Linked DNA regions of Arabidopsis thaliana. The protein of the gene in region 1 interacts with the protein of each later gene in a biochemical or structural test. Each region holds a gene or a part of one and is shown on either strand. Other genes may lie near its edges.

Evidence for each region. Proteins that work in one complex are often made in the same cells at the same time.
Region 2: of the proteins of PIN1 (region 1) and D6PK, one has a biochemical effect on the other in vitro, tested with the Arabidopsis thaliana proteins (one study listed by BioGRID).

What each region holds. Positions count from the first base shown.
Region 1 is NC_003070.9:27,657,768-27,661,524, forward strand, and holds the start of PIN1 (Auxin efflux carrier family protein), read left to right. Parts: upstream 1-1,905; 5' UTR 1,906-2,004; coding exon 2,005-3,250; intron 3,251-3,402; coding exon 3,403-3,637; intron 3,638-3,757. UniProt on the Arabidopsis thaliana protein: Acts as a component of the auxin efflux carrier; this activity is enhanced when activated by D6PK-mediated phosphorylation.
Region 2 is NC_003076.8:22,640,815-22,644,571, forward strand, and holds the start of D6PK (D6 protein kinase), read right to left. Parts: upstream 1,601-3,757; 5' UTR 1,295-1,600; exon of another isoform or gene 1,049-1,294; intron 932-1,048; 5' UTR 821-931; coding exon 186-820; intron 103-185; coding exon 1-102.

The DNA of each region.
Region 1 (3,757 bases):
TTAAACCAAACTATCTTACTCTCTTTTCCATTTTTCCCGTTTCAAGTGTTTGCTAAAAGATCAATTTTAATTTTCTCGTTTCAAGTATTTGCTAAAAGGTCATCCATCACCCATAACCATAAGTCAAGCCGTGCAAACATAGAGTATTAGAAAAAACGTTAATTTGAGTTCAATATTACACAAAGTCGCAGTTGTAACAAGGATTTGCACAACAAAAGATTGAAAGATTAATGGATTAGTGACAAATAATTTGAAAGATCCAAAATATCATTAACTATATGGAATGTGAAAAAATCCTGCAATTTTTTTTTTTTTTTTGCCGTGTTAAAAATTCAATTCTTTCAAAGAACCAATTTTAAAATTATTTGTCAGTAAAAAAAAATAGAAACTACTTGATTTATAATTTTTAATAGAAAAATGATGTTAAGTCATCAACTCTTTTATTTTTTCGTAACTTCTCAACATATTTACTTTATTCGGATTGCATAACCTACTTTTTTTGTGTGTATAGTCTCTTTAAGCGCAAGAAATGGCAAGGAAAGTCGAATTATATTAGTACTATATATTATTATTATGCTTAAAAAAAAGTTGAAAACATTGGAAAAATAAAAAGCTGGAAAGAAAAAAAAAAGAAGAACTGTGTTTGTATGGGATGATGAGAAAAATGAAGAGCAGACTGTTGATGGAATATTGTGTTTCCTCAAATATCAACACTCCTCATTATATCATCAACCCATTGCTTTTTGTACGGACTTTATTAGTAGTATTAAAGAACACATCAGACTGATTTGTGTAAGCAAACCAGAACCACCCTCTTTTCAACATTTTTCTTTCAAAAAACTTCTACGTATTTATGTTCAATAAAACTTTGTTACTAATTTTCTCAACGAAATATATTTTATAAAACTTTGTTAGTAATGTTATACAGTAAACAGTAAAAGAAAATAAGTTCCAAGATGAGCGATCAAAGGATTGAATAGTTCATAAATAATTCGTATGCGCAACTACAACTGTAAATGATAACCTATGCAATGATAACTCACACACACCCATCTCACATGAAAAAGTGATTTCGACCTTATGTTAGTGATATCACATCTTTTCTTTTATCTCCACCCACAAAGTCTTTGGTTAGGAACTAGTTTGTTCAATTGCAACCATTTTTCCAAAGACTTTCAACCTCTCTTCGGAGAAGACTTCTATCTTTAAAACCAAAATTTTCTAAGTTCATATAAACATCAAATCGAGCCTTATATCATCACTTCAATGTGTATTTATCTTCTGTTGTGATTTATCAATTGAAAGTCAATACCAAAAATCCCATCATACTAATCACAATAATTTATAGCAAAAATAAATTTAACAATTTTTAAACATGGTAAAAATATAAATTTAATAATTAGTATAGGGGATAAATTGATCAACCGAATAGATTAATTCATAATTTGAAAAGGCCAAAAAAAAAAGAGAGAGGCAAAAACAGAGGCTCTGCTTTGGACTCCGCAAAGCGCACAAGGCCGCCTCTTTCACTATCCCCAAAGCTCCACCACGCACCCATCAACCACCATTTTTATTTCGTTTTTATTACATTCAAAAAAACTTCTTTTTGTCGTATTTCAATCAAAATTACATCACACACACTATTATGTTGGAATGTTTAACAAAACAAATAAATATGTTGAGCTATTCCAATTTTACATTTAATGTTTTTTTACTCCTACACGTAAACTACTTTTGAATATAATATCTAGAAACTAACCAAATAATCGAAAACGAAAATAATAAAATCAGCAAACAGTTTTAGCTTCATTAACAAAATATATATATGTTTAATTAAAAAATATGGTATTTTCTCAACGGACAAAAAAATAAAATAAAAAGAATATAAAAATGTGGTCTCTTCTCAACACTCACTTTACTCTTTTTTCCCTCTTCACCACTTCTCTCTCAAACTAAAGACAAAAGCTCTTCTCTCTTCCCTCTCTCTTCTCCGGCGAACAAAAGATGATTACGGCGGCGGACTTCTACCACGTTATGACGGCTATGGTTCCGTTATACGTAGCTATGATCCTCGCTTACGGCTCTGTCAAATGGTGGAAAATCTTCACACCAGACCAATGCTCCGGCATAAACCGTTTCGTCGCTCTCTTCGCCGTTCCTCTCCTCTCTTTCCACTTCATCGCCGCTAACAACCCTTACGCCATGAACCTCCGTTTCCTCGCCGCAGATTCTCTCCAGAAAGTCATTGTCCTCTCTCTCCTCTTCCTCTGGTGCAAACTCAGCCGCAACGGTTCTTTAGATTGGACCATAACTCTCTTCTCTCTCTCGACACTCCCCAACACTCTAGTCATGGGGATACCTCTTCTCAAAGGCATGTATGGTAATTTCTCCGGCGACCTCATGGTTCAAATCGTTGTTCTTCAGTGTATCATTTGGTACACACTCATGCTCTTTCTCTTTGAGTACCGTGGAGCTAAGCTTTTGATCTCCGAGCAGTTTCCAGACACAGCAGGATCTATTGTTTCGATTCATGTTGATTCCGACATTATGTCTTTAGATGGAAGACAACCTTTGGAAACTGAAGCTGAGATTAAAGAAGATGGGAAGCTTCATGTTACTGTTCGTCGTTCTAATGCTTCAAGGTCTGATATTTACTCGAGAAGGTCTCAAGGCTTATCTGCGACACCTAGACCTTCGAATCTAACCAACGCTGAGATATATTCGCTTCAGAGTTCAAGAAACCCAACGCCACGTGGCTCTAGTTTTAATCATACTGATTTTTACTCGATGATGGCTTCTGGTGGTGGTCGGAACTCTAACTTTGGTCCTGGAGAAGCTGTGTTTGGTTCTAAAGGTCCTACTCCGAGACCTTCCAACTACGAAGAAGACGGTGGTCCTGCTAAACCGACGGCTGCTGGAACTGCTGCTGGAGCTGGGAGGTTTCATTATCAATCTGGAGGAAGTGGTGGCGGTGGAGGAGCGCATTATCCGGCGCCGAACCCAGGGATGTTTTCGCCCAACACTGGCGGTGGTGGAGGCACGGCGGCGAAAGGAAACGCTCCGGTGGTTGGTGGGAAAAGACAAGACGGAAACGGAAGAGATCTTCACATGTTTGTGTGGAGCTCAAGTGCTTCGCCGGTCTCAGATGTGTTCGGCGGTGGAGGAGGAAACCACCACGCCGATTACTCCACCGCTACGAACGATCATCAAAAGGACGTTAAGATCTCTGTACCTCAGGGGAATAGTAACGGTATAGTCCCTCTATAACTTTGTTGTTTTGTTTTCGCACCCTAATTTATTTTCTTTACAAAAACACCCCCAAAATTTCTCTATGTCCTTCGATATTTATGATTTGGTTAAGGGGTTCTTTAATTGTTTACATGTGTTGTTGCCTTACTTTAGACAACCAGTACGTGGAGAGGGAAGAGTTTAGTTTCGGTAACAAAGACGATGATAGCAAAGTATTGGCAACGGACGGTGGGAACAACATAAGCAACAAAACGACGCAGGCTAAGGTGATGCCACCAACAAGTGTGATGACAAGACTCATTCTCATTATGGTTTGGAGGAAACTTATTCGTAATCCCAACTCTTACTCCAGTTTATTCGGCATCACCTGGTCCCTCATTTCCTTCAAGTACTGTTTCAAACTTGTCTTATTTTCACTTTACTTTGGTTTTGGTCTACTATTTTAACCACTTTCTTGATGCATAAAGGGTCAGCCTTGAATGCGTATATGTTTGAAAGTTTTTTCTGA
Region 2 (3,757 bases), on another chromosome or scaffold:
CCATCATCTCTCACAAGAACGTTCTCGGGTTTCAGATCACGGTAAATGATCCCAAGCATGTGTAAATATTCCATTGCAAGAAGCACTTCCGCGACATAAAACCTGCAAAACAGCAAGTCACTAAGGTTATATAAACGCACAAAACTAGATTCTTAGATAAAGAAAGTTTAGAAAAAGTTTCTTACTTAGCTGCTTGCTCGGTGAAGCGTTTCCCGGGTTGTCTCTGCCTTAGTGTATGCAAATCACCACCAGGACAAAACTCCATCACCAAACAAGAGAACTTCTCTGTCTCAAAATGACTATACAAAGTCGGAAGAAACGGGTGATCAAGACACTGCAATATCTCTCTTTCAGTTTGAGCCCTAAGAAGCTTTTTCCGGCTAGCCAAAGCAGTTTTATCCATAACCTTCATCGCAAAATAACACCTAGTTCCATTCAACTCAGCAAGATGAACAGTTCCAATATCTCCACATCCTAACCTCTTCAAGAGCCTAAAATGATTCAAACCCAAACCACCATGTTTAGTTCTAACAGCTTGAATAGCTTCCCATCTCACATCATTAGCCTTGTGAGGTTTGTTGATACTGCTACTAAAGCTGCTACAAGTGCTCTCATCGCTTATATCACTGCTTGTACTTGGTCTACAAGTGCTACTCTTTCCACTCTCACCTTGCTCGTTGATCTTACTATTACCGGTTTTGCCATCACTACTTGGATCAGCGAAAGACAAACTCGAAGATACTTGATCTGCTAAAGTGTTGATTGACATACTTTGACTGGAATTGGTAAGTGATCCTTCTGGAGTTTTTGAAGCCATCATTAACACAGAGCAATCTTAAACACCAATTCCTTCTTCCCTGAGATTTAAAGAACTTGTCTTTACTCTCTAGTAATCAATACTGTCACAGATTCCATCAACGAGTGGCCTGATCTATAGTCATCAAAACAAAACAATAGCATCAGTTTAAAGCTGGATTGAGAAGACTCAGAAACAACAATCACGGATCTTACTACAGATGAAAGTTTAAGTAGATGCACAAAATTTTACCCAAATTGAAATATCAAATCTAAGTGACAAATCAATTAAAGCTCTTCATGCAAAAAGTTTGGATTTTTATTTTGAGTCTTTAAGGGTAAAAACAGATCTCGTTAAAGTAAAGAAGAAGAAGAGGCAAAATAAAGAACTTTTGGATCTAGCAAGAATCAGAGAATAAAACCCAGAAAAAGAAGAAATAAAAAGAACAGAGCTTTAGAGAGAGAGAGAGAGAGAGAGAGAGACCCAATAAATCGTTACCTGAAAGTGAAGATTTTTGAGCGATAAAGATCACGAGATACCCTTTTCGAAGCAAAGGGAAGGAGAAGTAGAAGAAAAAAGGAAGGAGAGGGAAAGAGAGAGAACAGTCACTGTTCATGTAAGGCTGTAGAGAGAGAAAGAGATGTAAGAACACATCTGCTTGCTTCCATGGAAATGGGGATAGATAGAGAGAGGGAGAGAGAGGAGAGAGTGTTGTTAAGAGAGAGAGAGAATTGGGTCTACCATGAAAAGAGGGAAGAGGAGAGAGAGGGTCAAATAAAAAGTTGAATACTTTTTTTTATTTTTTTTATTTTGAGGGAATTTCAATTATTTCAATGTATTTTTTTTTGTTTTCTCCAAAATGGAAGACATATGTTTACATCAAGAATGCTCTCGCGAGCTGTTAATAATTTTAGGCTTTTTAGGGCAACCAAATTTTTATTGATACATGTTATTGTATATTTCCTACATGTTTACTTTATATTTTGATTTTCTAAATAATTGTCTATAGAAATTTTTATATATATTTACCAAAAAAATTCCTTTTTGATTCTTTAAATTATTAAACACATCAATTTAAATTATTAAAATTCAACATTCTTATCTTTCATCTATTCTCATGAATCTGTCATGTGCCTTTTACTTGATGATAAAAAAAATTGATGTTTACCTCTATGCATAAATTTATGGATTTTACATATTTAGCTTAAGTTTTCACACGAGTTTTTCAGTTTAGCAATTCTAAGTAAGAACTATTGTGAATGCACATTTTTGTTAGAAGGACAATCCCATATGCGTGCCACCAAACTATAATTTTCTGTTTTATTTATGCGGTTTGGAAAACATCGTCCTAAGCGTATGTTTTCGTCATCATGCAGCATCTTCGGAAGTTTCTTCTTGTGTTCTAATGGGTGAAACTTGAGGCATTAAATGAACATTAGCGCATACCATATCACAAAGAGTTTTGCATCTTTTCGGATTGCCAATAGATGATAAATCTTATAAGCTGAATGAAGACATAACAATAGATATTTTATATCTCGATTTCTTTTGTTATCAATTCCATTTACATCCAGTGTTCATCCAATTTTATGGTCGAAATAATACTTTCTAAAAGCTTGTTAGCATCCGTCAAACATTCTGTTTTCAAATTTTTAGTGAAAGTTTTTGTCATTTACCAAAATCAATAAAAAAAAATCTTTTAAGTTTTTAAAAATAACTAAACATTCCAAAATTGTATAAACCTTTAAAAAATTTCCCTAATAACAAATACGTAAATTGGTCATGTGTATTAATTTTATTTTATTTTTTTACTAAACACACCAAACAATTATTTAAAATTAGACTCACCATTGTTTGAAACTTGAGAGTTCCAAAAGATGCCCCTAAAACTTTTCAGCAAATTCTTATTTATTGCCCAATAATAAGTTTCCTTAGATTCTAAGATTATATTTCATGTATTTTATTTTTTTTCCCCCACATTTAAATCGAACAGAAACAATGTTTTTTTAGAAATGGTTCAACAGGTAGTTGACAAACCAGAAGATTGTTCAACATAAAAGAACACAAGTGGGTATAATTTGTTCATTTCCTCATATCTCAAATAATTCATATTTTAACCTCATGCTCTTATTAGATCCAATTACTGCGTCAATTTTTAATCGAGAAGCTCAGATCCAATAACGACAATTGCTACACGATCGGCTTGTGACGTGAAACGCGAGTGGGGAATCTTTCTTCATTATAATCCCATTTCTTTAGGTTAAAAATACTGCAATAATAACAAAATAAAAGGTTTAGTTTATTAAAATGTTTTGTTTACCATGATACTTGAGGGATTAAGGTTTCTAAGTTTCTTCATTACAATTTAAATCATAGCTGGACACTGTCACTAAGGATGCTTTAACATTTAAATGGTAAGAATATCCATTTTTATACAAGTTTCTAGGTTTACTCTTAGATTTAGATCGAGTCCTCTCAAAGTCTTAATTATATTATTTTCTTAACAAATTCATAGAGATTCAATGGTTAAAAGATTTATCGTGAAAATTAAAGATTCGAGTGTTCCTACAATGAGATTAATCATTATTGGTGGTAGTTGTGAATGCTTTAAATAGCAAAAATACCTAGTTCTTTTATGTCCAAAAAAACTAGTTTTTTTTTTTTGGTAAGCTCCAAAAAAACTAGTTTAGAGTTTGGTTTAGATCTCTTTGTTGTAACTTATAAATATAATGATAGAGATTTCTATTTATTATCAATCAAAACAACTTCTACACGCAAATTCGTTTACCTAATATTTTTTAATATTTTAATGTTCTTTCCAGTTTTGTTTTTGTTTCACTAAAGTCAGCCAAAATAATTCAATTATGATGGGCATATTATAAAAAAAATTACAGTAATTTTGTTCTTTATTTCCAATAATATGTCATATACTGTACACTTGTTTTCAGTTAATTTCTGTTT